Coturnix japonica: one gene and its partners. The protein of the gene in region 1 purifies or fractionates together with the protein of each later gene. This does not show direct contact. Links are inferred from orthologs where the notes say so. Each region holds a gene or a part of one and is shown in the gene's direction. Other genes may lie near its edges.

What was found.
Region 2: the proteins of SNRPB2 (region 1) and PHF5A purify together in Homo sapiens (affinity purification with mass spectrometry; 4 studies listed by BioGRID and IntAct, with this or other methods). This does not show direct contact. The link is inferred for Coturnix japonica from reciprocal best matches to the Homo sapiens genes SNRPB2 and PHF5A.
Region 3: the proteins of SNRPB2 (region 1) and RBM17 purify together in Homo sapiens (affinity purification with mass spectrometry; 3 studies listed by BioGRID and IntAct, with this or other methods). This does not show direct contact. The link is inferred for Coturnix japonica from reciprocal best matches to the Homo sapiens genes SNRPB2 and RBM17.
Region 4: the proteins of SNRPB2 (region 1) and SF3A2 purify together in Homo sapiens (affinity purification with mass spectrometry; 6 studies listed by BioGRID and IntAct, with this or other methods). This does not show direct contact. The link is inferred for Coturnix japonica from reciprocal best matches to the Homo sapiens genes SNRPB2 and SF3A2.
Region 5: the proteins of SNRPB2 (region 1) and SF3A1 purify together in Homo sapiens (affinity purification with mass spectrometry; 5 studies listed by BioGRID and IntAct, with this or other methods). This does not show direct contact. The link is inferred for Coturnix japonica from reciprocal best matches to the Homo sapiens genes SNRPB2 and SF3A1.
Region 6: the proteins of SNRPB2 (region 1) and GEMIN5 purify together in Homo sapiens (co-immunoprecipitation; 3 studies listed by BioGRID and IntAct, with this or other methods). This does not show direct contact. The link is inferred for Coturnix japonica from reciprocal best matches to the Homo sapiens genes SNRPB2 and GEMIN5.
Region 7: the proteins of SNRPB2 (region 1) and SF3A3 purify together in Homo sapiens (affinity purification with mass spectrometry; 6 studies listed by BioGRID and IntAct, with this or other methods). This does not show direct contact. The link is inferred for Coturnix japonica from reciprocal best matches to the Homo sapiens genes SNRPB2 and SF3A3.

The regions. Positions count from the first base shown.
Region 1 is NC_029518.1:2,368,561-2,373,273, reverse strand, and holds the start of SNRPB2 (U2 small nuclear ribonucleoprotein B''), read left to right. Parts: upstream 1-1,631; 5' UTR 1,632-1,724; coding exon 1,725-1,788; intron 1,789-2,313; coding exon 2,314-2,486; intron 2,487-4,169; coding exon 4,170-4,310; intron 4,311-4,713. UniProt on the Homo sapiens protein: Involved in pre-mRNA splicing as component of the spliceosome. Associated with sn-RNP U2, where it contributes to the binding of stem loop IV of U2 snRNA.
Region 2 is NC_029516.1:45,262,754-45,267,571, forward strand, and holds the start of PHF5A (PHD finger-like domain-containing protein 5A), read left to right. Parts: upstream 1-1,777; 5' UTR 1,778-1,934; coding exon 1,935-1,986; intron 1,987-2,102; exon of another isoform or gene 2,103-2,197; coding exon of another isoform or gene 2,198-2,249; intron 2,250-2,344; coding exon 2,345-2,368; intron 2,369-3,404; coding exon 3,405-3,571; intron 3,572-4,818. Other genes in the region: ACO2 (aconitate hydratase, mitochondrial), read right to left, coding at 1,575-1,610.
Region 3 is NC_029516.1:3,129,705-3,132,495, forward strand, and holds part of RBM17 (splicing factor 45), read left to right. Parts: intron 1-557; coding exon 558-709; intron 710-1,394; coding exon 1,395-1,471; intron 1,472-1,866; coding exon 1,867-1,965; intron 1,966-2,456; coding exon 2,457-2,529; intron 2,530-2,663; coding exon 2,664-2,767; 3' UTR 2,768-2,791. UniProt on the Homo sapiens protein: Splice factor that binds to the single-stranded 3'AG at the exon/intron border and promotes its utilization in the second catalytic step. Involved in the regulation of alternative splicing and the utilization of cryptic splice sites.
Region 4 is NC_029543.1:1,224,276-1,228,967, reverse strand, and holds the start of SF3A2 (splicing factor 3A subunit 2), read left to right. Parts: upstream 1-1,553; 5' UTR 1,554-1,610; intron 1,611-2,432; 5' UTR 2,433-2,483; coding exon 2,484-2,609; intron 2,610-3,014; coding exon 3,015-3,086; intron 3,087-3,405; coding exon 3,406-3,452; intron 3,453-4,055; coding exon 4,056-4,165; intron 4,166-4,692. UniProt on the Homo sapiens protein: Component of the 17S U2 SnRNP complex of the spliceosome, a large ribonucleoprotein complex that removes introns from transcribed pre-mRNAs.
Region 5 is NC_029530.1:9,667,325-9,671,183, forward strand, and holds the end of SF3A1 (splicing factor 3A subunit 1), read left to right. Parts: intron 1-150; coding exon 151-305; intron 306-962; coding exon 963-1,064; intron 1,065-1,281; coding exon 1,282-1,353; intron 1,354-2,244; coding exon 2,245-2,346; 3' UTR 2,347-2,999; downstream 3,000-3,859. UniProt on the Homo sapiens protein: Component of the 17S U2 SnRNP complex of the spliceosome, a large ribonucleoprotein complex that removes introns from transcribed pre-mRNAs.
Region 6 is NC_029528.1:6,015,719-6,019,759, reverse strand, and holds part of GEMIN5 (gem-associated protein 5), read left to right. Parts: intron 1-132; coding exon 133-265; intron 266-700; coding exon 701-860; intron 861-1,375; coding exon 1,376-1,588; intron 1,589-2,286; coding exon 2,287-2,372; intron 2,373-2,784; exon of another isoform or gene 2,785-2,914; coding exon 2,915-3,009; exon of another isoform or gene 3,010-3,640; coding exon 3,641-3,777; exon of another isoform or gene 3,778-4,041. UniProt on the Homo sapiens protein: The SMN complex catalyzes the assembly of small nuclear ribonucleoproteins (snRNPs), the building blocks of the spliceosome, and thereby plays an important role in the splicing of cellular pre-mRNAs.
Region 7 is NC_029538.1:3,130,268-3,133,071, forward strand, and holds the end of SF3A3 (splicing factor 3A subunit 3), read left to right. Parts: coding exon 1-100; intron 101-226; coding exon 227-337; intron 338-657; coding exon 658-748; intron 749-1,325; coding exon 1,326-1,381; intron 1,382-1,705; coding exon 1,706-1,783; 3' UTR 1,784-2,003; downstream 2,004-2,804. UniProt on the Homo sapiens protein: Component of the 17S U2 SnRNP complex of the spliceosome, a large ribonucleoprotein complex that removes introns from transcribed pre-mRNAs.

The DNA.
Region 1 (4,713 bases):
AGACAGGATAACTGACCAGCAACCACGGATTTCTAGGACACAATACTTTCTGTTTTGCACCTTCCAATTGAATATAGATCTGTAAGCTGCTCAACCTTCTGACTAAAATGTGAGGTTTCATGCAGGTTAACTTTGCAGCTGCTCGCACTGCTAACGTGCACTTGCTTGGGAATTTCTGTATTTCCTGTCATTTTGTCCATTGTCTCTGTGCATGTCCCAGTGTTTACTGATGTGCTGCATAATCACGCTTGACACAGCAGAACAGAGCAGTCAAAAAGTGGAACCAAACTACAGAAGACAAATCCACCCACATCATACACATGCTTCTTACTAGCATGTGATTCCTCCCCACGCTGTTGAGATGAAAACATTTTTATACAGATAGATCTGTGTGAATTTAACAATGCTACAGTCTTAATACTGCAGGATAATTACTGTGAAAAGTCTGAAGCATTATTATGTGCACGTGGACCAAATCAAAGCTATGAAGATTGCATGATGCTATGAAACCAGGAACAAAACTTCCACTGTACACTGCTCTTGATTACCGTCTTGCTTTAATGCAGAGAGCTGCTCTTAGAAGAATAAAAATGAATCTTCTTACAGGTTTCATAACAAACAGCTGCAATAATAAATCAATGCCAGGTATCCTCGATCTCAAGTAAGGGACTGGAAAAGAGCAGTGGATACAAAGCAGTGTTCAAAAACTCTTGTCTTCTCTGCTTTGCTTCTCCAACACTTCTTAGAGTCTCTGGAAATCAGCTACCTGTTAGTTGCAAGCATGATTCCAGCATATTATATTGGTGATGTACTGTAACTGCCTACTAAGTTGCCAGAGGCATTCTTGCTAAGAAACTTGGAATAGTTTGTACAATTCTTCAAGCTCTCATGGACTTTTAAACAAATAACTCCTTTTGTGAATAGAATAGTACTGTACCTCTCTGGGGATTAAGAAAACAAAAGTAATCTAAATAAATCTAGGGGGGAGCCTGAGGAATGAATGTTGCTTCTATTCTGAATCAGCAGACAGACTGAAATCCCACCTGAGGAAAGGATGGCTTTCTGCTTTATTGCATTCAAATTCTTCAAGAATAAATCAGCAGTGCTTAGAGTGACTCTGAGCAAGTATGAGTGCGGCACTGAAGAATTACAGAAGCCATGAATCCTTCCTTATTTTCTGTCAGGTTAAGGTTTTTTGTGTGTATGTTTTCATTAGTTTCTTCTCTATGAGCAGCTTAAAGACTTCAAAAGAAAGTCATTCATATTATGTCACTCCAGAAGACAATCAAATTCCCTTAGCTACCCTGATTTGATAACAAGTAAGTAGTTTTGGACTTTGTAACTAAATTATGAGTCATGTGGACTGTGTTACTGATCAACGCATAAAACACATGCTATACCTTTCTAAAAAACGTTTCAATACATTATTCACGCCTGGATTTCACAGACATGCTTTATGTTAGTCGCTTATAAAACAATAAACAGAGAAAAGTGCCGGGAACTGCTGTCTAACACTATTTAGACTTGCGGTGTGTATCAAATCAAACCACCATCTTGGAGCCCTTCAGGATCCAACCAACAAAGCACCGCGCATGCGCCGCCCGCCATCGCGATTCCGACGCATCGATCGCTCCGGGAGCGGCTCTGCGGCCTGCGTCGTCACGGCGGCCATCTTGGCTGCGCGTGTGCTTTGTCTGCCGGCTGATCGGCGGCCGGCTTGAAGCATGGACATCAGGCCGAACCACACCATCTACATCAACAACATCAATGATAAGATTAAGAAAGAAGGTAGGGGGGTGGGGGGGGGGCAGTCCGCTCATGTCTCGTCCCGTTGCTCTCTGTTGAGAGGCCGTGGTTTGGCTCTGAGGCGGCTGGTTGGCCCTGATGCCGTGCCCTGAGCCTCCATCAATAACTGTTTATCATCATAACTTTTAACTTCAAATGCTCTTCGAGGCCTGCAGGCGTTACTGAGCGGTTTGTGGTGGGTGTCAGCAGCAGCTGTGAGTGGTGCTCATACATAGCCGAGCTGTTTGTCCTTTTGTGTAGTTATTACCTATATAAAGTTAATACAGAGTTAGTACGGTTTCTTCTCTAGCTGAGTATTGCGAAGCCAATACACCTCCCTGCTAAAACTGGGCGAATATGCATTTGTACAGCAGTTCTAAGCTTGTGTAGCTTACTGCTGTGAGGTAAAGGTTGCAAAGATCAACTGAGGGACACCATATTCTCTGTGTGAGTATCTATCTCTGTAGATACAGACGTTTGCGTGCAACCCATTATAGTCTTTTTGTGTTTTTTCTTTCTTGTTAACAGAATTGAAGAGGTCCTTATATGCATTATTCTCACAGTTTGGTCATGTGGTTGACATTGTGGCTTTGAAGACTATGAAAATGAGAGGACAGGCTTTTGTTATATTTAAAGAACTAGGATCATCTACCAATGCTCTGAGACAGCTGCAAGGCTTTCCATTTTATGGGAAACCGATGGTAAGTTATTTTCTTCCTTCTCTGTGGAAAATAACATTACTGTGGTGTGTTGCAGTGTTTTGGTACTTGTGCCTTGGGAATTAACTGTTAGATGTACTTGCAATTGTGCTATTACGCAGTAATGTCCTGTCTTGACAAATATATGTATTTATACAAGCTTGAGGCGCACTGGAGAGACAGTAATTGAAACACACAGTGAATTGAAACACACTTGCAGCCTGTTTGGGTAACTGGGCATCTCCTAATTTGGGAGGCTTATATGTGCAAACGGTCCACTTCAGTGATCTGTGGGTACACTAATACTTTCAGCTCGTGTCTTTGGGCGATAAGGAGAGCTATACTGTTGTTTTGTTGAGGCACACACTTCTTTCATGAATGCTCTCAGATTATCTAACAGTTCCTGGTGTATGGGAAACTGTTGATCACAGCCTGAACCTCTGATTAACCACCTGAGGCAAGCAATGAATCAGCTGTGGGAGCACAGATGAAGGTAATTCAGCTGTGCTGCCAGAAGCATGTGAAGCTTGGCTTCACCTCTCCCGGATCTCATTTAAGGGCTGACTACTACTAAGGCAAGGTCTCTTTCTCTGGAGATCACTCCTTTGACCCTTCAACATCAGTGAGCATTTTCTATTTATCACAGATTATCTTTCTATCACAATAATCTTTCATACCAAACACCTGTTTAACCTCTGTTTACCTATTGACTGTATAATTAACTGTATAATTGTATAACTGTATGCTAAGCAACTGTGCAAGCTTAGTTCTGTCACTTACCCTTAAAGGCCTTTGTGTTCAGTAAAATGCAGTAGAGAATTAAAGTGCATTAAGGCATTATAAGCATTCAGGTGCATTTCCCTCTTTGAATACTGACTGCAGGATGCATCCTATGTCTAGAAATGGACAAAGGATAAAAAATAAATTCAGCTGGTGGAGTAGTCTTCAATAAGTGATAGGATTGTAAAAGTATACACATGTGTATATATACGTGTGTAATGCTGTGCCCTTATATACTCGTAGCTCCATCATTTGTCTTTCACTTGGGCACTTTCAGGAAGCTCTTGTCAGAAGAATAGCATAGTTGTGCTGCTGATACAACCTATGCGGTCTGGGTTGAATTGAGGCAAGTGTTTATTCTGTTTGTTTATTCTGACTTTTACTGAACTCAGTTTTCTGCAGAGATCTGAGATCACTGGAACCTTATCAGCTCCACCCCCCAGGCTCAGATGCTTTATCCCCCTAGGTTTTTTTTTTTAGTAGCAGCTGGTGCCAATTTTGTTAACTGATGTTATATAGCTTTGTACATCTGCTACCTTGACAGACACGGTAAAGATGCTGTTAGCTGATTAGAGTGCCGATTCCAATGAGGGTCATAAAATTAGTAATCTCTTCTCATGAGAGGTCTATCCTGGTTTTTAAAAGTTCTTTAGTTGCGATCAGAATTAATCACAGAATTACAGAATGACCCGGGTTGGAAGGGACCTCAAGGATCATGTAGTTCTATCCCCCCTGCCTAGCATAATTAGGCATAATTAGCATGTTACGTACTCTGTAAAAATATAATTTAAAACAGTGTTGCTACAAATGTATTGTGTGAATGAAAGAGAATGCGTTCAGTGAAGTTGGTGTGAGATTTTCAGTATAACAAACAGTACAATTTTGTTGTTTTTTTCCTTTTGAAAGCGTATTCAGTATGCCAAAACAGACTCTGATATCATCTCTAAAATGCGCGGTACTTTTGCTGACAAGGAGAAGAGGAAGGAAAAGAAGAAGGCCAAGTCTCTGGAACAGTCAGCTAATGCAGCAAATAAAAAGATAATTCAGGTAAGGGACTTCTGTATTTCCAAAAAGAAGGGAAAAAGCAATTCAAACCGTACACCCTCTTTTTTGGTAATGTAATGTTTTGGATCTTTTTAGGACTAAGTACTTTAAGTTCTTTCAATTGTTGTCTCTACATTTGTAGTGTTCTTTAGCACTCATGAAAGCTGCAGGATGGAGTATGATTGCATAGTCTTTAATGCATTTTATTTTATTGTTTTTATTTTTAATGCTTTTTTTTTTTCCTCGTTCCTGTTGTAAGATGAAAACTAAGGTACAGAGCAAAGGTACAATAAACCAATGTAGAAAGTAACAATATGTATATGTTCATATATGTAGAATGGTAGATGGGTAGAACATTGTGATCCATTTGCAGTTAGATGAGAAGGAGCTGGCATGGAATGTATCT
Region 2 (4,818 bases), on another chromosome or scaffold:
CACATTCAGTGCTGGCACTACTGCAGCAACTAGCAAGATGAGTCATGTTATCATTACATCTCTAGACTGCTACATATGAGAAAAGCTATTATTTGCTTCCTATAGCAACCAGCCAGAATGATTGGTAACAGTCCCTTAAACTGAAAAAAAAGCCTACTTTGAATCTAATAATATAATACTCCCAAAGGTCTAAACTTCATGCATTTGCTGTGCTGACACATATCCACTTAAGTACACACCCACTTGACCTGACGTGACTGCACATACCATAAAAGGAGAAACAACCCATTATCCTAATAAAATATTTGCTTATGTTTTATCAGTAGTTGTTTCTCTTCAAAGTGCAAAGTAGCAATTATTTAACAGTCAACGATGAATACACTGAGATAACTGCAATGATGCCATGTTGTAAGTTTTACTTTAAAAAACAGTCCTTTTCTAAGACATCTGCACCGAGAGCAACAAAGTAATAACATAAAATGTGAGTAAGAACCATAGAATCACTGAATATCTTGAGTAGAAAGAGATCCATAAAGATCATCAAACCCAACTCCTGGCTCCACGTGGTACCACCCAAAAAGCCGGCCCTATGTGTGAAAGCATTGTCCAAACACTTCTTGAACTCTGGCAAGCTTGGTATTACGCCCACTGCCTTCTTCACAAAGTGCTTTCAAAGCACCTCACTCAACGATCCTTCACGTGTCCCTTCCAAGCTGAGCTATTCTGTGACTCTCTGATAAGGTTATTGCTGCAGCTCCCTGGGTAGAGGGAACACCCTCCCCAAGGTCACAGCTGGCAAATGGAGCAGTCCGAGCTCTCAGCTTCACCATGTGGCACGTACTGAGGGCAGCACAGCAAGCAGCACTACATGAGAAAATGGCATTCTACTGCCTTCTAGGCTTTAAAAAACAATCAAGTGTTTATTAGTGAGTAGATAGTAAACGGGATAATGCCCTTAGTACTGTAGTGCCCGTGATGGGCACAAGCAGACGTGGGTTTTAGAGGTCACAATGGAGAAGACTGGGAGAGTCATTATGAAGGTAGATTCAAGCCATTTGGAAAATAAAATAATAATAATAAAAAGATAATTGATGTGGCCGCCTGGCCTTGCACGGCCCCTTTAACAAACAGATCTAGGAACTCCCATCCACATGAAAGGCCGCAGTCCTGGAGCCGGGCAGCCAAGGGCACAGGCTGCTAACGGCACGAGATGAGGAGGAGCCCGCGGAAGGAGGAAGCACGGCCCCAGGCGCGATATCTCGGCCTACCCGGGCGCGGTCACCTTGCGCTCACCTTGAGGCTCAGCGGTGCCCGGAGGCGGCGGGACCCGCCCGACACCGAGGCCCATCAGGCGGCCGAGCCGCCTCCGCCGGTGCGGCCCCGCCATCGCCATGGAAACGGGCGTCGGGCCGCGCCGGGGACGCGCTGACCTACACGCGCAGACAGCGGAGACCCGGCCCCACGCCTCCGCCCGCCGCCCCGCGCTCCCTCTGCCCTCCGTCCAGGATTGCAGCGGCCCTCACCCCACCGCCCAGCCCGGCCTCGCCCGGCCCCGCCCGTCCCGCGGCGCTCACCCGCAGCCGAGCCGCCAGGACGCAGTACGGCGCCATTTTGTGCACTGACAAAGATGAAGTCGCGCCCCGATGGCGTCAGTCCGCCCTTTTGATACCTCTGGCGCGGGAGGAGGCTGAAGGGGGCGGGGTCCAGCGGGTCCTGGCAGGGAGGTACCGGAGGAGAGAGCGGCGTTCCCATGGCGGGGGTACGGGCGTTCCCCGCGTTGAAGGGAGCAGCGAGGCGGATTGGGTTTGAAGCACCATGCGGAGCTCGGTTACGGGTCGGTGTCCCCTCCCGGAGCGCCGCTTTGTCGGACGCTCTCCACACCCCTGACAGGACCGGGACACGGCGGCAGAGCACCGAGAAGTGTCGCCGGCGCCATGGCCAAGCACCATCCGGATCTCATCTTCTGCCGCAAGCAGGCGGGCGTCGGTGAGTACCGGCGCGGTCGTGGCCCTCCGCACCTTGACGGTGGGCTCGGGCGGCAGTTCGAGCCCGTTAGGTGCCCGTTAGGTGCCCGTCAGGCCCCTCGCGCAGCTCCTCGTTCTTCCCTCGGCCCTCTGAGCTCGGGGTTCGTGGCGCTCCCCGAGGCCGCAGGGATGTGGTTGGGGATCGCGATGCGGCGCTGAGTGCGGGTTTCCTTATGGCCGGTGGGAGCCGTTGGCCGGACACCGTGCGGAGGGACTGTGGGCCGGGTGGGTGTGCCCTGAGGACAGGCGTCGCTTGTATTTGCGTTCTAAATGTAGCCTCAAGTAATATGTGTTTTTTCGCATTCTTTTTCCCCTTACAGCAATTGGAAGGCTTTGTGAGAAATGTAAGTACATCTTCTGCGTGTAGTTGTTTGAGAACCCAACTCTGTGGTAAGTGCCTGCAGCTCGGTTTCTCTTTTTGCTCTGCTGCTGACTTGGGGTCACAACCAAATAGAAATAGCAGGTAACTGCAGCTTGGGCTGGGAGGAGTGACCTGTGTGTTGGCCTGAGTGTATGGAGCAAGTGCGAGAAAAAGACCGCACAGCTTCCCTTCAGCATCTGTTAGAATGGGAAATGGATGGAAAAAAGTGCTACAGCAGATGAATATGCAAAAACAAATATCTATGCAACCTACTGCAAGGAACCTGCTTTGGCCAAAGTGTTGGACTTGATTCCTGGAGATCCCTTCCAACCCCTATAATTCTGTGCTCGTGCTCACCTATAGCAGAAAAGAATAAGCACAATTGGTCATTAGATCCTTGCAGGAGCTCAGTACAAGTAAGCCAGCTATTTCTAGGCTCCAAAAAATGTTAAAAACAAGCGAAGTGAGGAGAAGCACAGTCTGAAGCAACTGAACTGTTTTCAGAAGTACACAGAAGTTAAATGGATTCCCAGTGGTAGTAGCTGAGGGCAGTTGGGACTGAGATTGAAGAGCAGGTTAAATGAGCTGTTTGTGAGAGTCAGGATTAAATACCTTGGGAACTGGTAATAAGATCTGAAGCCTTTCATCTGGAGGTCAGAGTTTTGGATCGGGGCCCGCAGAGCAGAGACTGTCCATGGCATCTGATGGCTGTTTGCCTGTATGATAAGAGCACTTGTATTTCTCTCAGTCCCTTGTGAGAAAGCAAGAGCAACTCTGTGAAGTGGCAATTTATGCCGGTTTGCCCTTTTTTTGGCCTTGGATATGGCTGGCTGTTGGCCCTCGTTCCTCTGAAGTCTGTGTAAATATAAAGTTGCACCTTGTGCCTGTAAGCTAAAGTTCTGCAGTCTAACTGCGTTGTCTTTGAGCATACAGGCAAGTTCTTTGTCCAGCAGACTTTTCCTCTTTTATGTGGGGTGGAGAAAAGGACGTTCTGTAACCAAAGACTGCTGTACTTGCAGGTGATGGCAAATGTGTGATCTGTGACTCGTACGTGCGGCCCTGCACCCTGGTGCGCATATGTGATGAGTGTAACTACGGCTCGTACCAAGGGCGCTGCGTCATCTGCGGGGGCCCAGGGGTGTCTGATGCCTACTACTGCAAGGAGTGCACCATCCAGGAAAAAGATGTACGTTGTCATCCAGTCTCCTGTAGAATTGCTTATGTCTTTGTTTAATAGCTATGCTTATCTTTAAAGGGACTTAGAGCAAGTGATATTAATGTTAGGACATTGGATGCTTGGGTTCCTCTCCCAGAACTGGCACTGGTTTTCATTTCCTTGCATGTTTCTTTTTCTGTCGGTGGTTCCCAGTGTTTGTGGAGCACTTTGAGGTAGCGAGCAGTGCCTCGATTCTGTATCCCATAGGATCCTTGTGTGCTTTACGATGCATACTCACAGTTCACTTCCTCCACGCTCTGCTTGTTACCACTTTCAGCTGTTATCTTACTAAATCTCTCAGCCAAAGTTTTATCAGCAGCAGAGACACTTTAGACGTTGCAAAGGCAGTGGCAGGATCAGCTTCTTACTGTGTCCGTGATCATACCATACATGGTATGATCATGCCACTGGCATATATGGTACCATAAGGCCTACAGAATCACCACCCATGTTTACTTTTGTGTTACAGTAAAATTAGCCCTTAGTGTCCTTCGTCCTTTGACAAGGCAGATGCTCGCTCTCTAGGTATTCAATAATATCCATCATAGTGAGGGCAAGTCATGAAGAACTGCCAATGAAGTAGTAGAAAGACTGTAGGGAAATGCAAGAACGTGATGCTTGCGGTTGCAGTGTGTCAGAGTATGGACCCAATGGAGAGTATCGGCTGTGTGGTTTTGGGGCTGGATCCTTTGCAAACACCATCTCCAGCACACCCTGATGTCAGCAGAGTGTGCTGACAAACAGCTCTGATTTAGAGGAATGTACTTAGCTGACTGAGCTGCTGCTTTAATTTTCTGCAGCACCCATATTTTCTCTAGAGGTCTTGCAGGGCAAGCCCGTGTCTGAATTTAGTCAGTAGATCTGGCGGGAGCACCATCTTTCTTAGTATCTAAGTATTATATGTGGATAGAAATGCTGTTGGTGGTACTGCCTTCTACATCTAGAAGTGCTGTGACAAGCAGTAGTTTTGTTGTCTTGTCTGTGGGACCAAAGAACTTGTTTGGCAGTTTATCAGTTAAATAGACCAATTCATATTGATTCCTAATAGGTATTTTTCGTGCTCTAGTCTCATCTGTAGGTTCAGATGTAGAGCAGCTCGCTGCTCTGGAAGGGAGGGTTATAGAGAATATAGAGCTGGAGGAGCAGATAGCAAGTCAGAATTGAGGTATTTTGATAGCTGGATGAAATCTTCTATAGAAGACCATTGATGTGTACCA
Region 3 (2,791 bases), on another chromosome or scaffold:
TTATCTTAAATGCCTCTTGGTAGAATGGAAGTGACTTAGTGTACATTATTTACTGTGGTGTAAATTACTGTACCATGACATTTCTTTGATGCCTTGGTCTATCCAGCTATGTGCTCCAAAGAAATGCCAACAAAGATGGTACTTTTAATAGATTAGAGAATTGTTACATTAGTAAACTCTTGAAAATCCAGAAAGAAGAGCCATGTTAATTAATACTGAGAATATCCAGGTTTGTTATAGGAAGTGCTAACAAAACCACGTGCTTTGGATCTTATGCAGACATCAAAACAGTAGGTAGTATAATGTGATCTAATGGGGGAAGCAGATGGTTCCACATCTGCCTTTTCTCTCAGACTTTTGAAGCCAGCCACTGACAAAAGGTCAGAAACTGGACTAAATGAACTTTGGCATGATGTGTGACTTGCTTTGCTACTAGAACTTTGAATGTGTTTGGAAAAGTGTGAGCAACTTTTGAGTACTTGCACGCTCTGGAGAAATGAAATGATGATGTTATTGTAAGAAACCTTTACTAACTGATGGTTTTTTTCTTTTTGCAGAGGGACAGTAGCTCATAAAATCATGCAGAAGTATGGTTTCAGAGAGGGTCAAGGCCTGGGAAAGCATGAACAGGGGCTGAGCACAGCACTCTCTGTAGAGAAAACAAGCAAGAGGGGTGGCAAGATCATTGTTGGTGATGCTACAGAAAAAGGTAATCTTGTCCTGCACCAATAACTGTGAAAAATGATTGTGGGAAATAACAGTCTGTAGTCAGTGGGAGATCCTGGATTTCTGTTAGCCCTTGGTTCTAGCAGAAAATACTACTTAGTTGGAACAAGGTTCTCCTTCTTGTGGGAACTTACCTTCACGACATTTTATTGAAGTGGTCTTCTATTATTTTAACTCATCCTCCCCCTGAAGCTGTCCTTCTTTAGTGTTTGAAACCTTCTACCTGTACATTCACTTCAGTGAGTGATCCTGCTGCACTCCTGCTGGCTTTTTTCCCCCATCATGTGTGTTAGATAATGCCTTCATTTCCCTGCTGTTGTTTGGTCTAGAAACAGCATCTCCACTTAGTAGAACAGCACAATTCTGAACTCAAGTGCTGGAAGTCAGGAGATCTGTTTTTTAATTCTTAGTGCATCTGATGCAGTTTTCAACTCATGAATGATTTCCCTCAAGGAAATAAGACATTGTCTATGGTCTTTGTAGCAGCGATTTTTCTGCATATTGACCTTCCAAGTAGCTGCAAGATCTGAAATACTCTTCCTCACCAGTACTAAACTATACTTAGTGGTTTTTATTTCACTGTTTGCTAACAGTAAGATTCTGATAAAAGCCTTCATATGAGCATTAGTCTAAAATGATTCCATGATTAACTTTTTTTCTCTTCCTAGCAGATGCAACCAAGAAAGCAGATTCTAATCCACTGACTGAGATACTGAAATGCCCAACTAAAGTGGTCCTACTAAGGGTAAGTTGTGATTAAAGCTGTGTCTTGGTATTTCCAGCACTCACAACTGATTTAAGCGCTAAAACCTGCATTCCTGTTACAGTGACTCTGTACAGTTCAGACAGTTCTGAACTGCACCTACATGGTGCTCTGTGTGTTGTGGAGAAAATCTATCACAGGAAAACATACAATTTGTAATTGTAAATCAACACCGATTTAGATTGTGCAGGGACCATGTCACAGTGTCTTAGTATTAGGGAACTGTCTAGGCTCTGGAATGTGACCAAATGGTTCTTGACCTGGTAAACAATAGCTTAAATTATTCATAGTCACCGTTGCATGCATCCGTGATTTATCTACATGATTGTCTATTCAGGCTGCATCCAATGACTTATGTTTATTGTTTAAACTTTCAGAATATGGTGGGTGCTGGTGAGGTGGATGAAGATCTGGAAGTTGAAACTAAGGAAGAATGTGAAAAATATGGCAAGGTTGGGAAATGTGTCATCTTTGAGGTAAGACAGAATCTTTTTCTCTTGTTCTGGTTACTCCAAAGGTTGAACTGGCCATTTGTCTTTCATGACTTGCACACTACTGCTGTGAAGGAGCAGCATAGATTAAAGGATTTCAAAGGGTCCTTTGTTGTGTTGCGATTCCAATGTTTCCAATATTTGTGAAGCGTGAACTCTGAATGTCAGAAATAGCAAAATCCTGGAGTGTTTTGGAACTTTTTCTAGTTCCTCCTGCTAAATTAATCTTTCACTTTGAGATGCTTCTAAGTTTCGATTACTGAAACTTTTCACCCTAGCTGATTCAAAAGGTTTCCATAGAGAAACAGGACCCAAGTTCAGCAGTCTTCAACCTCCCTTTGGCAACTGAAGAATTGAATTACATTGGCTTAATTTTACATTCTGCTTTTGTGAAGAAGTGCTGCGTGATGCAGTGGTTTTGTTACTGTTCTAATCAGACCTGCTGGGGTTTGTTTTGTTTTTGGGTTTTCTTTCAGATTCCTGGTGCCCCTGATGATGAAGCTGTAAGAATATTTTTGGAATTTGAACGGGTTGAGTCTGCAATTAAAGGTAGGTTATTAAACTGTGTCATATGAATTTCAGAGTTCATTTCTTCAAAGAGATTAAACAGTCTCGCTCATTGGACTCAGATTTTTAGTCGCTGATTTGCTGCTTGCTGACCTCTTTTTTTGTTGCAATTATAGCTGTTGTGGATCTAAATGGAAGATACTTTGGCGGCCGAGTGGTGAAGGCTTGTTTCTACAACCTGGACAAGTTCAGAGTACTGGATCTGGCAGAGCAAGTTTGATTTTAAAAATCTAGCTCGAGGTGT
Region 4 (4,692 bases), on another chromosome or scaffold:
ATATTCATTATAAAGGTTATTCTGTGCTGATTCAGGATCTTTAGAACAGGAGGATCTTTAGCAGCCTCGGTTTTATGTGAGGTCTGTAACTACACGAGACAGAGTCCAGCTTTTGCTGCTGTAGGGCGATGGTTGTGTTTGTAGAAAGCAGCAGGGTGTGGTTTGCTGGCACTGCTTCTCCTCACCCCCACCGAGGAGCCTGAACTGTGCAGGGGGAAGGGAGGACGCCGTGTTGCACTGATCCACAGAGCACACGTGATAAACGTGAAGCAAAAAGGTGCGTGTGTGTATCTGTGTGTGTGTGAGGAGCAGCAGGATCCGAACCTCAGCTTCATCCGTCCTGAAGTAGAAGAGAAAGTTCACCACGAGCTTCACGAGGCGCTTCTTTAACACTGAAGAAGGAAAGGAGTGATGTGACAGCGAGCCCAGCGTGTGTGGGGCCCCCAAACCATCCCAGCACTCCCAGCATCTCCATTTCCATCCCAGTGCTTCCACCCCAGGACTTCCATTGTCATCCCAGCGCTCCTATCCCAGTACACCGTTCTGATCCCTGTGCTTCCATCCCAATACTCCCATCCCAGCACCTCCAGCTCCATCCTAATACCCCAATCCCAGCACCCCCAGCTCTGACCCAGTACTCCCATCCCAATACCCCCAATTCCATCCCATTACCACCATCCCAACACCCCCAGCTCTATCCCAACACCCCCATCCCAATACCCCCAGTTCCATCCCATTACCCCCATCCCAATACTCCTGTCCCCACCCCAACACCCCCAGCATTATCCCAATACCCCCATCCCATTACCCCCATCCCAATAACCCCAGTTCCATCCCATTACCCCCATCCCATCATCCTATCACCCCAACACCCCCATCCCCATCCCACCCCCAGCTCATATCCAATACCCCCATCCCAATACCCCATCCCAAACAAAACCCCAGCTCTGCCCCAGCACCCCCATTCCAACAGCCCCATCCTAATACCCCCAGTTCCATCCCAATACCCCCATCCCAACACCCCCAGGCTCTATGCCAATACCCCATCCAATACCCCAGTTCCATTCCCAATACCCCCATCCCAATTACCCCAATTCCATCCCTTACCACCATCCCAACACCTCCAGCTCTATCCAACAACCCCCATCCCAACACCCCAGCTCTTGCCCCAGCACCCCCAATTCCAACAGCCCCATCCCAATACCCCCAGTTTCCATCCCATTACCCCACCCCATCCCACCCCCACCCCATTACCCCCATCCCACACCTCAATCCATCACTCCCCATTCCCACCCCCAATTAACCCCCCCATCTTCCACCCTCACCCCCTTCCCACCCCCCCCTCTACCGCTGCCCCTTCTTGGGGACCCTCATCATGGATCTCTGCCGCTTTCTCTGCCGGTTGCCTGGACAGGACAGCAAGCTCCCGTTCGTTGTACCTCATGTCGGACCCCAAACGACCACCCCAACCCTACAAACCACCCCTAACCCTACAACCACCCCAACCCTACAACCACCCATACCCGACCCGGTAGTGCTCTATCCGGAACTAGAGGGGATGGAAGGGGGAGGGCAGAGCGCATGCGCCGGGAGCGGGGCTGAGCACGGCGGTATGGGGGATTTAGGGGGAGGGGATGTGGGGCTTAAAGGGGGGATATGGGGGAGTGAGACCCTCATTGAGGGGATGGGGTGGTCTGGAGGGGGGTCTTGGGCCCTGTGGGGGATTGTTTCGGGGCAGTGACCGTCGCTAAGGGAATAAGGGCCTGTGGGGCCTATAGAGCCTGTGGGGCCTATGGAGCTTATGGAACCTGTGGGGCCTGTGAGGCCTATGGAACCTGTGGGGGCTGTGGAGGCTGTGGGGCCTATGGGGCATGTGCAGCCTATGGGGCCTATAGAGGCTGTGGCATATGGGCCTATTTGGAGCCTGTGGGGCCTATGGAGCCTGTGGGGCCTATGGAGCCTGTGGGGCCTATGGAACCTATGGAGCCTGTGGGGCCTATGGAACCTATGGAGCCTGTGGGGCCTATGGAACCTATGGAGCCTGTGACCTGCACTGGAGAATGAGGGGGGTGAGGGGGCTTAGAGGGGTTCTTAGTGGAGGGACAGGACCCTCCAAAAGGAAACTGGGGGGCTATAAGTGGCATGGAGAGTTCGGGGGGTGTTTGTAGGGGGCTTTGAGGTGAGCTTTGGTGCTCGCTGAGGGAATGGGGGTGTTTAGAGGGGGGTGAGGGGGTGTCTGGGGGGTTGTGACCCCCATGTTAGTGGCTGGGGGGTGTGTGACCCTGTGTGAGAGGGTAGAGGTGGGCTGGGGGTGGTTTTGTCTCTTGCTGAGGTAATGGCAGTGCCTGGGCCGTGTCCTCGTGGCAGGGCTCAATGCGAGGCCCAGCTTAGGGCTGTGTTGTCACTTATGTGTCTTTTCTTCATTTTTCCAGACTTTTATTTTATTTTTCTCCTGAAGTCTCCAAAGCCCAGAAATCCCCACCATGGATTTTCAGCACCGTCCTGGAGGTAAAACGGGGAGTGGAGGCGTAGCTTCAGCCTCAGAAAGCAACCGAGACCGCAGGGAGAGGCTTCGGCAACTGGCTTTGGAGACCATTGACATCAACAAGGTGAGCCCCAGTCCTGCAGGCTACATGGGGTGAGGTCAGGGCTTCATCTCAGCAGAGAGTGAGAGGTTTAGTGGGGATCTGTGGAGTGGAATAAATACTTCTGTTCCCACTGATGAGGGACTCGAGCAACATGTGGAAGGGCCAAGCAGAGGGATACCAGCACTGGGCTTCTGTTATGTTCAGTCTTGGCACTGGTTCTTATTATGCTGCAGTTGGGTGTGCTGTTACCAGTGAACACAACTGCTCTTGTTCCTTTTTCTCTATATTCCTAAAGCAGTGTTGTGCTGATCCCTTCACTCCATGAGCTCATAGAGTTCTTACAGTGCAGCTCTGCTTTAGAATCTCGGTTGTTCAGTTGTTCCAATGCAGATTTTACATGTAACTTTTCAATCCTTCTCTTCCTAGGACCCCTATTTTATGAAAAATCACTTGGGTTCTTATGAATGCAAGCTTTGCCTGACGCTCCATAACAATGAGGTGAGTTGAGCAGCTGTCTGTCTTGATCTCCATGGCAGCAGATATTTTAGACTAATTCTAGCTCCAAGTGCTGGAACCGAAGCTGTTCCCGTTGGCTGATTGCTGGAGGGCCAATGGGGGGAGCAGAGGCTGTGTGTGTTAAGCATGACAAGTTTCTGACAGTTCAGCAGTTGTGAGCAATCTGAAATTTGTGAGTTTGATTCTGCTGTGCTCTGAGGATTAAAATATCTTTGTCAGTGTGAAATGTCACCTCTCATCTGTGACAAATATCTTTCTGTTCAGGAACAGTTCAGTCTTCATAACTTTCTTTTCCCCCCAGGGAAGTTACCTGGCACATACGCAGGGGAAGAAGCATCAGACCAATCTGTAAGTCATTCTCCACCGTGTTATTCTCCATTACTTGGGCACATTAAAATTAGATAATGAGCACCTATAAATCTTGGCCTCCATCATGTAGTAGCACTCTGGGCTTGAATGCTCTTTGTCTCTGTTTGTTTCCTAGGCATTCACCAGCTCTGCTCTGAACAGTGGTGCTGACAAGCTCCACTTCAAAGCCAGCTATGGCATTTAGATTAAGTATAACTGTAAGGGAAGCTGTTTTATGAATACAGCTTGAGAAAAGTTTGTAAGCTTTAATCTAAGAATTCAGGTTTGCTCTGCTTTAGATACCTGGCTTGTGTAATTCATTTCCTTTTTGACTTTTAAGAAGTCATCTCAGCTCCATCTGTGGAGCTGGACATCAAAGTCCTCTTAGGAGTGGGTGAGGTGATGGAGGTGACAGATTGTAGTCAAGGCAAGGAGTGGAACTGGCCTCCCATGGTGCTTGTGGAGGAGGAGCAGCAGTTTCCCATTATGCTTTCTGTGAAGTGCTGAATGCTCCGTCATACAGAACTCACTCTGCCTTTTAGAGTATCCTTCAGAACCAAGTGCTGATAACCATTTAACACTGCGCGTTTCCAATGAACCCAGGGCTCGTCGAGCTGCCAAGGAAGCAAAGGAAGCTCCTGCCCAACCTGCACCAGAAAAAGTCAAAGTGGAAGTGAAGAAGTTTGTGAAAATTGGACGACCAGGTTACAAAGGTTTGTCAGCAGTGCCTGTCATAGCAGATACCCCGTGGCTGCTGGAGCTTGCTTGAAGTGCAGTGCTGTGGGCATGAATTGTTCATCAGCCTTTTTAGCAGAGCTATCCATAAATAAGATATGGGCTTATCTCCTGATGTCCTTTATTGTTTAAATTACCCATGGGTTGTCTCTTTATTGCTGACAGTCGAGTGAGAGCCATTTTAATAATAGATCAGTACGTCTCAGTCTCTGTCAGTTCTTACTGTAGTCATATGGGAGATGGTGGCATTGCTTCAGTCTCTCTTTCCCTTTTATTGTGCTCTGCCATCTCTATTATGGCAGAGCAATATACTATTGCTCACAAGTCACCCACTGGATGTATAACTCAGTTTTTTTCCCCTCTGTTTCATTTTGGCCTTCAGTACAAGACATGGCTTCTTTATCTCCATGCATATTGTGTCAGTGTCTGTGCCCCACAGCAGCTGCATTTCAGTAGATACCCTCAGGAACTTTGGCTGAAGGCATTGTGGCATTTTATTTAATAA
Region 5 (3,859 bases), on another chromosome or scaffold:
CATGGTACTGCAGGCTATATTAACTTCTTGCATGAATGGCAACATTTATTTTCAGTCTTTGTTAGTCTGCTAAAAGAGTTCGTGTAAGGGAGTATCTGCTGTATGCTCAGTGGATGACTGTGTGTTGTGCTTTCCCTCATCCCATTCCAGCATTTGTTCCAGCACCTCCCGTGGCTCCAGTTCCTTCCCCAGCGCCAATGCCTCCTGTTCACCCACCACCACCTATGGAGGATGAGCCAGTTTCAAAGAAACTGAAGAGCGAGGACAGCTTGATTCCAGAGGAGGAGTTTCTGCGCAGGAACAAGGTATGTGTGCGAGTGAACTCTCTGCTTGTTGAGAAGTGGAGTCCTGGCCCTGCTGAGCTGTTCAGCCTCCTGTGCTCAGAGGGGTTGTAAAGTCCATTGAGAACACAGAGGGGAGCTGATGTATTTCAAAAGAAAGTGACTTGCTGAGATGGCTCCTTCCTACTGTCATACCTGAACTGCCCTATATTTTACTACAAGGAGCGATGTAGTGCTGCACACAGATGGTGCTGTTCTGTAATTAACAGCAGTGAGAAGTAGGGTTATAGTAATGTAAAGAAGAGATAATGCTGATAAGCTTTTAAGTAGAAGACTGTTAAGCTGGAGGTGCAAGGAGATTTAATATATCAATGTCAACATGGTAGTATGGCAATGTAATATCTTCCGTAACATGAATGAAATGTTAGACTGAATTCCTTTCTGAGTAACAGCATCATGTTGGGTTGGGTCTTAAGCCCTTTAAGAAGGGAGCACTGTTCTCCTGTGCATTTGTTTGCATTATGAAGCCATCTCTTTAGTACCACCGTGTTCACTGCAAAATACTCTGACTTTCAAGATATGTGATTAATATTGGGAAGGTCTGTAAATACTTTGTCTGCTGCTCTTATCGCAGTCCTGAGACTCCTTGCCTGTGAAAGACCTTATCTTTGTTTCCCGTAGGGCCCAGTCACAGTCAAAGTCCAGGTCCCCAACATGCAGGACAAGACCGAATGGAAGCTGAATGGCCAAGTGCTGGTGTTCACCCTACCGCTGTCAGACCAGGTATGTAGCTTATTAACCCGGTCTTTACCCCTTGCTGTGTTCTTACGGAGTGTTTCCACATTGAGAACAGGGGTTGACCTGCATTACAGGAGCTGTAAAATTCTGCATTTTTGCCACGCCGTGGCTTCTTGCCAGGCAGGGTTGTGTGGTGGAGGTCTTCATGTTGGCCACCTGTATAGGGGGAAAAAGTCTGAACAAGGCTTTTGTTTCTTCCTAGGTGTCCGTTATAAAGGTTAAGATCCACGAGGCCACAGGGATGCCAGCTGGGAAACAGAAGCTGCAGTATGAGGTGGGTAACAAGCCCTTCAACGTTGCTTGTATTTCAGTGCTTTTTCACAATAAAATGGACTTTCTTCAAGAAAGTGTTATACCACTAAGACACAGAAAAGAGCAGAGGGAATGGATGTTTTCGCCTGTGCAGCACACTTGGTTACATCGCTGTGCATTGTTGATGCAGGACATGCTTCTAATAGTGGCATCAGTGCATCTTCACTTTGTCACTGTTGAGGATGAGGCCTCAAGGCTTGATGGTATGCTCTGAAATTCAGCCTGTTTTGTGGAAGGACTTCTTGGTTGGAGGTTCTTTTTGTTTTGAAATGCAGCAGCTTACCTTTGTCATTCTGTGGTGAGCTCAAGAGGTGAGCAAGAGTACATTGAAACCCTGGGAACTCTGAAGCAGTGGAGGAAGGAAACTTCTCGAGTCTGGAGCTTTTAGAAAAGCACTGCTCCTTATTAGTAACTTGTTTTCAGTCATGCATGTGCACAGCTCAACCTGCTGCCTAAGCAGTGAACTTTGAGCTCTTACCTCCTTTGGAATCAGGCTATGGGCAGATAATGTTAACCCTTAGCAAGAAGTAAAGCTTAACTAATTTTGTAAAGAACGAAAAAGGGGAGGAGGGGACCTGAGTAGCTTCATTCGTGACTGATTCTGTCTGTCTGTTTGTAGACAGCAATTGTATATCATCTGTTTATGCTCTTCTGTAATTCTCAGCATACCCACCTCTTCCAGTGCCAATTTTGAGACACTGGGGTCTCTCCAGGCTTTTTCAAAGCCTAAAGCACTTTTGTCATCACCTTGTTTTGAGAGCAGTGTCAGGAAGGCTTTGTCTATGTGTGGCTTTGTGGGAGTGGACCATGAAGGTTTGTACCCTGACTGCCTTTATTTTTGTCTTCCCCACAGGGCATCTTCATCAAGGATTCAAACTCCCTGGCTTATTACAACATGACAAGTGGCTCTCTGATTCACCTGGCACTCAAAGAAAGAGGAGGCAGAAAGAAATAGGAGCTCTGGAATCCAGAGATGTAACAGGGCTGCTTTGCCACTTGTGTAACCCCAGCCATTCAAATCCTCCAGCCTTTTAGGGGCCGCTGTGACAAGCTGTCGACTGCCTACCAGCTCTAGATTAGAAAGGGAGACAATGAACCCATACCTGGGTGGCTGATAAGAGGGGGAAGCTGGTAGAGCCCTGAAAGCTGTGTACATGTAGTGAGCTAGTGTGTAGCTGCAGCAGTCTGTCAGTGATCTTTGCTTAGCTAGAATGATGGTGTCCAGGTTTGCTGTCTCTACAGTGAATTTCCTAATGAAGCAACATTGAGGTCATGCCCAGCTTAGTCTAGATCCATCTTTATTCGAGGGATTTTCTGACCAAGAACATCATCTGTCTGACTACAGTATTTGCTGCTTCACTTAACCTCTTTTTTTTTCCCCCTAATTGAAAATTTACTTCTTGATACACTTACTAAGCCCTTTGTTCTTTCTGTCTCATATCTAGGAGCCTCTTGCACTGACCTTGACTTGGAGTTTTATCCTCTCAGTATGAGTGTGCGTGGCTGTCAGTTGTGATAAAGGAGATCTGGGGCTGCATGCTAAGCAGCTTCATTCTCGTTCTGTACAGCCTGTGATTTGTTTTAATAAACGTGCATCTCAGTGCAGGATCCTGTTTGTGGCAGCTCTCATTCTTTGGGATTTAGGCTCTTTGGATGGATTTCGTTCACTCTGGTCTTAAATATGTTATGGAGAAATGCTGGCTTTCATAATCAAAGTGTTTGCTCTGGGAAATGCTTGTATTTCATACAATAGGCTGCAAGGAAAGGATTTAGTTAATTTCCTTACTGCCACAGTTATTCCTGAGCATAACACAGCTGTGTGTGCTAATGTCTGTGTCCATGTATGGGTGTAGAGAGAAGGTTTTGAGCCTAAGCCTCATCAGTGAGAACCCTCTTGGAAATGGTCTTATCCTCCCTGTCCTGCAGTTAACATCTCTTGGTCCTGGGGAGCCTATAGGTCCAGAAAATAGATCAGATCTGTGCTGCACTTCGATATGCACGTAGCACAAACAGCGAGGTGGCATTAAGCTGTGCAGGTCAAGGAAGGCTGGTTGTCTGTTGCTGCCCCAGCAGCGCTGTGATTTGGGCACCCTCTGCTCTTTTGGGACAACCCAAAGCTATGGGTTGTTTGTTGGGTTTTATTCATGGGGTGGAGATGGAGGGGATGGGAGGGTTGTTCTCTATTGGCGGTGCTCAGGCATTACAGGAACATCCTGTTTACCTAACTGTGCATAGGGGAGAGAGAAAGAGACGAAGCAGGAGGGAAGAGACAACACTGCACCCTGCATCCAGGCAGCTGAGGAAGCACAATGCTGTCAGAGCTGCCTGGCCTGAGCCCAGCACAGGTGGTTGTGGTTCTGCTCCCAGCTGACAGCTGCCCTGTGTCCACACTAACACAGCCTGCTCCTCTCCAGCGCTGCAGGATGCTGAATTACCACTGCTGGATGTGCTCCTGGCCTGCAGGAAGG
Region 6 (4,041 bases), on another chromosome or scaffold:
TCTAACTGTGGGTTTCATTTGCTAACTCAATAGTTTAAATAGTGGGGAGCCTACTTAAAGTTCAGATTCTCAGGTCTTTTTTTCTGAGAATTTGGATGTACAAAGTCGAGACGATCCCTTTCTTTTCCAAAGGTGTAATGACTCTGAAGTTGCCACCCACAAAGAGAAGAGGTGGAGCTGTTGATCCTGCTGTTAAAGAGCGCATTTGGCTCACTGTCCACTGGCCTTGTGGTCGTCCTACAGAAATTGTATCCAGCTCTTTTGGGTAAGTAGGAGACAAAGCAAGTAAAATTAATTGTACATTAATTCATTGATATTTAAAGAACAACTGGCAGGAAACACTGACACCCCCATCTTCCTCCCTTCCTAGTATAGCAAGATAGAGGACAGGCTAAGAGTGTAGGGGAAGTTCAGTCTTCTAGAAGGCTGTTATTTGCCCCACAATTCATTTAATAATCTAACTGAATACTGACTGCTAATGGTACTATTTGTGGTTTTTGCCCATTTAATGGAAGCAGTTGACATTTCCACTTCCAATGTGATTAGGAATGGATATCTGTAGGGTAGTTTTATCTCTGTAGAGGGACGTGTAGTGCATGTGTGTCTATCTGTATTACTCTCACACTTGCAGTATGTGCGTGAGCGCTGATATGATTTTTTTGAAGTGAAGAATGAAATATACACACTTTACGTTTCACAGAGGAGAACTGCTACACTGGGATTTAACTCAACCTGGAAAACGCAAGTGGACACTAATGGGATCTTCAGAAGGGCAAAATCACTCCCGTATTGTGTTCAATTTGTGTTCCCTGAAGCATCAAGACAAAGAGCTGCTTCTTTCCATTTCAATGGACAGAGATGTAAGAACCCATTTTAAAATTAACATCAAAATAGCAGCGGCAGTTCAGTTTGACTGAGTGAAACTAGCACTTTGATGACCACACATTTTCTCCTAAAGCAGGCTTATCCCTGCCCTTTATAACATCATGGCTCAACATTTCTTCTGAGCACAAGTTGTGCATTTCTTTGTTAGCATGTAAGCTCAAGCTTTTACCTTGGAGGACAGAATGGTTATGCCCTCTGGACTTGAAAAATCAAACGTTTAATAGCTGCCTTTTTTGTGGGGGGAGGAAGGGTTGTTATGGTTTGGTTTTGATTTTTACAGGCAGCACAGTGCCTCCTATTTTGAATTTAGAAGAGGACCATATAATTAAACCATAGCCCTGTTCCATCGCAGTCTTGCAGTTAATACAGCTCTGTCTTTGACTCATACTGACACGTGCATACTCTGAGTCTTCCTCTCACTTGTGCTTTGTTTTTCCCCCCCCATCATACCAGTCACTTTATCATTCGTTGTTCCTTAAATATTCTTTAGATAAAGTGCTGGGACCTATCAACTCTAGATTGTAGCTGGACAATGCCTTCACTTGGGGGATTTGTCTACAGTCTCGCCTTCTCCCCTGTGGACCCAGGCTGTCTTGCCATTGGTGTTGGAGACAGCATGATCCGCGTTTGGAATACTTTGTCTATGAGCAACATCTATGATGTGAAAACCTACTGGCAAAGCATAAAATCCAAGGTTACAGCAGTAAGTGTGCTTTACATTCCCCTTTTTTCTTGTCTCTTTTCTCACTCCATTTTTCTCTTTGAGGAATGTTTTTCTCTCACACTGAAGAAGGTTTTTTCCTAACTAAATCCTATAATGCCGAGTTGTTACTTCTGCTCTCAATTTGCATGATATAAATTTTAGAATTGATCAGCATTTTAGACATTTTTAGAACAGTAGGTATTTACAGTACACATACTGAAAATCAGCTGAAGTTTAGGTGGTTATTGCCTCACTTTCTTGGTTTTGTAAACAACTGTGATCATTCCTTGTGTCATCCACAGTTTCCTTTTGTTTGCTAGGAAGTTTAACATGTAGAAAAACTGGCACTGATGCCTTCAGTTTGAATTTGAACAGCAATTGGCTAAATACTAACATCTAGTAAACGATGGCAGCATTACAACATGTTAGTTGATCACACCAAAAGTATGACTCTATGTTGTAATGTAGCAGTCAGGTAGCATTTCAATGATTTCAGTTCCTTTCCTCTTGTCCCAGTAACTGTTAAGGGAAGAGTCCTTGATTCACATCACAATGTGGTTAAATTGAGTTGCTGTAGTTAGCATGGTGAATATAAGGGACAGTGCTTTTGATTTCAGTGCTTAACCTGTTGTTTATTATTTAAAAATAAATTGTCAATTCCTTTTGTCATTATGGGGCTCTTTGTACTTTTCTTGCAGTTAGCATGGCATCCAACTAAAGAAGGTTGTTTGGCTTTTGGAACAGAGGATGGAAAGGTTGGCATATTTGATGCCTTATCCAGCAGGTAAGAAAGTAGTTTTCAGATTCATTAGTATTCGATCTTGCTGGTATGGCAGCACACATAGATGACGTGGTCTTTCCTGAGGTTTACATTTGATATTTGTTAAAAGTTAAATTTAAAGTAGTCAGATGTATTTTAAGTGTATCTTTTCATCTGTTCCTTGTGACTGGCAGCTCTTAAAGAAACCTTACTCAAATTGTGTAACAGTCACCTGTTGGAAGTCATCAGTCAAGGATGAGTTAAGCCAGAAAAAGTTCCATAAAATGAGCAACATGCAGATGCAATTCATTAGGACAGTTTTGTTCTGATTTTAGTAGTGTTCTACAGGAAGCATCAAAGGCTTGGCTGAGCCATTGCTTTAGTATTTTGAAGCACCTGTCGTCTGTTTTCACTACTGGAAATACATTAGTTTGAATTTTGGGTTTTTTTTTTTTTTTGCTTGTTTTGGATTTGGTTTAGTTTCAGTTTGGTTTTGTTAGGGGTTTTATTCTGTATTTCCCCTTGCTGCAATCAGACTACTCCTGTTTCCTTACCTTCCTGCACAGTGCTAAGAATAAGCCCCCACAGATCTCCAGTACTTACCACAAGAAGACTGTATACACATTAGCCTGGGGACCTCCAACTCCTCCACTATCTTCTGGTGAGTGTTATAATGTCTTGTTACAAAGTAGAAATCCATACAGAGCACACAGATGCCACAAAGTTGGTGTGCTTCCCTTCCTTATGGATGTGAGCTCCATCTGCTTGGTAGCAGTCCTTTCTATCCACTAAGGATGCGTTCTGCCTGAGAAACTGGTAACAGTTTTGCCAAGGGAGCAAAATAATCTGTTCTGTATTTTGAAAGGTTCGGGAAGTGGATGGGAGTAGAGCACAACACCACATAGTTACATGTTTGTAATGCGCTGAAATAGCTATGTAGGCTCTCCACAATAATTGGTTAGGATCAAGTACAGATTATTTAGCTCTAACTGTTTTTCTGTCATTAAAACTAAACAGAACAGCTCCATTTGTCTTTTATGCAACCTGGGGGGGTTTATTGGCCAGGATTTAAAGGGAGTTTTAATGTGTGCAGCAATTGTGCTATGGAGAATGAATGAGGGGTCCTTTTAGGGAATTGTATTTTGAGAATTTCTTGCTGCCAGATCTCAGAGAATCAAAGCATACATACAGCATTTTAAAATACTGTTTTGATTTATAGTAAGAATAATTGCTTTTCCTAAGACTGACGAAGAGCATAGTATACTTAGATTTTTTTTTCCTCTGTTGAGTAGGAGAAGAAGGTGAACATCCCTCTGTAACTTTATATAGTTGTGCTGGAGAAGGTATTGTTTTTCAACACAACCCTTGGAAACTTAGTGGAGAGGCAAATGACATCAACAAAACCATCAGAGACACTAATTCAATTAAAGTGAGTATGATTCTTGCCTTTTTCTATGGATTTGTGGTTATAGTTCTGTAGCCCATAGTTGTAGGCTTTTGAAGTTTCTTGGAACATGCAGAACTTACTAAGGAGCATAAGGAGGTGGAACAACAAGGTCCTTTTGGAATCAAGACATTTCATTTGACACGTTCCACTGCGCTGGATGTAGCCAGTGATTCTTCCATCATCTTGCAGTTCATTCAGTCCTCAATTGCCCAAACTTATGTCACTACTACAAAATGCAGCAGACAC
Region 7 (2,804 bases), on another chromosome or scaffold:
GGAGGAGGAAGAAGAGCAGATCAGTGAGAGCGAGAGTGAAGATGAAGAAAATGAAATCATTTATAATCCTAAAAATCTGCCTCTTGGTTGGGATGGCAAGGTAACCGAGACTGTTAGGTCTGGATTTAGCTCTGAACAAGTGGGAGATTCCACTTAATTCAGTGCTTCTCTTCTATTTGAACCTCCTTTGTCACTTGGCCTAATCTTTCTTTGTATTCCTTCTCAGCCAATCCCGTACTGGTTATATAAATTACACGGATTAAACATCAACTACAACTGTGAGATTTGTGGTAACTACACCTACCGAGGGCCCAAAGCTTTTCAACGCCATTTTGCTGTAAGTAATGTTTTGTCACAGGAGCCATCAGTGCCACGTTCAGATAATGTTTATATATCCAGAGCTTATGAAGAGAGCTTAAGGAGCTTATTGGTTCTGCCAATTTCTGTCCGCTCTCCTCTTGTTTGAACACTGATATCCAGGCCTGATTGATGCAGAGCGCAGTCAGTGTCTTGTTACCATCAGAAAAAAAAAGGTGTTTGGGAGATCTGTGTTTTGTTAGTATTTGTTTTACACTGTTTAGATTGCAATATGTCTTATAATAGGCACTGTGGGTGAGTTGGTGTTTCTTCTCAGTGACTTTTTCCTCTCGTTCCCAGGAGTGGCGTCATGCTCATGGAATGAGATGCCTGGGCATCCCCAACACTGCACATTTTGCCAATGTCACACAGATTGAGGATGCTGTCTCACGTAAGTCTTGATGGCATTTCTTTACACAGCACTGGGAATACTACAAAGACAATTGGTATTTACTAACTCTGGCCAAAAATGTATTACCCCATGATTGGTGGCTTATTTAAGGAAGGAGTGTAAGAAGCATGATGCTGCTGGGATTACCCTTCATTGGAACATCTCTCCCAGTTCTTTTGTTTTCTTGCTGAATGCCTACAGAAGTAGATGTTTGCTAGGAATACCAGCCAAGTGTCTTTTTGTTGCCAGCTGTTTTGTCTGCATTGCTTTATGTATGAAATCTCAGCCAAGTGTAGCGGGACACCATTAATTCAGAGCACGACTGAGTGATCCCATGCAACTGGTACTTAATTGTTACTCATCACAGTCTCCATGGGGAAGCCAGCAAAACATTCAGAAATGATGGAGCCTCTAGGGAGATTTTGAAAGCCTGCAGTACATGGGGAAAGGCACAGGAGTGGCAGTGTTTGGGGTTTATTGTATTTATTTATTTTAAAAGCTGATGGATTTTAGTCATTTAAAACCCAGTATTTGAAGGGAAACGGTGCTCATATTGTGAATGACTTTGTATTTACAGTGTGGGCAAAGCTGAAGCTACAGAAGGCTTCAGAGAGGTGGCAGCCTGATACAGAGGTAAGATGATAAAGGCACTGGGATGTTTCTAGTCCAATGTATTTGGGGGCCTTCATCTATCTTGCATGAAGTGGCTCTGGATGGAGAGTTTCTAACACAAGCTGTATCTCAGGCTGAGGTCTCCAGTGCACTTCAGAGCCTTCTGTAATTATTCTGAATCTAGATAAGATCTTCCTGAGCTCACTTCTAGATCCAGTGCATGTCTTCATATAGAGAGGCTCTTGGCAGAGTGGTTGTGCTCAGATGCAAGCAGAGTTTAACTGTGAATGTTGTAGCACAACCTGAGCCAGGCTGCATGCCTCTAAACTGTTCATTCCACTTCAGGAGGAATATGAGGACTCCAGCGGGAATGTGGTGAATAAAAAGACCTACGAAGACTTGAAACGTCAAGGGCTGCTGTAACGTTTCCCAGGTGAAGGATTTCACATCAGGAAAAATAACAGAGGAGCGTCACCAGCTCCAGTTCTTCTCCATTTTATCAATTTCCTTTTTATTTGCATGACCATAGGATACTTTATAGGATCGCTTTCTAGTAAGCCCTTTGTGAAAAGCAGTCTTGTGATGTTATTTTATATTAAAAAACAAAACAAAAAACCTTAAAATAAATGGATTTTTAACTTAGGAAGTGCTGATAATGTGTCTCCTTTTGTATGCTGGAAGGAGGAGGTTTGATGATGGTGTTTTTAGACACTTTCTACATGGTTTGAATTGTTAAAAACAATCAGTTCTTCCATCAGCACTGGAAAAAGAGTTTTTATGATGAGGATTGCCTTCTTTAAAGCACTTATGAACATGCTGACAATACGTAGTAGTCTTGTACTGTATAACAGTTTAATGTCTTTATTTGTGCTCCTTTGCAGATCAGATACTTGGCCTGCATTGCTGCTTTGGTTTCAAGTCTGGCTTTCTATGAGGCTTTGCCTATTGGGATTTTGTTCAGGGAACAAATAAATGAGCTTTGTATAGGATGGGCTGCCGTGTGGGTAGTCTATGTTAGTTTGTCCAGCACTGGGCATTGACTTGATGACCTGGTAGCACAGATCCTTCCTTTGGTTCTCTTGAATCACAGTACTGCCATGTGAATTAATACCCTGTGAGGAGAAAAGAGGCACTGGGCAGAGGCCTTGTGCTTTGTAGCAGCCCTTTCTCTGTCTTTTGCTGCACACAGACATTTGCATCTCCAAATCCAGCAGAGCTGCAGGTAACAAACCCTTCTCCCTGGGTGATGGTTTGCGCAGCTGCTGGTTGGCAGGGTGGGGCTGCTTGCTGGCACCAGGGTATGAGCTGTGCTGCAGCTGCTTGGTGCTCAGAGGCTCTCCATCTCTTGCAGCAGCTGCAGGCTTCTTTTGGGGCACAGACACACAGGGTGAGTTTGTGAGCAGATTCCTTTCCCTGCTTGGGGGTTGAGCAGGTTGGTTCCCTG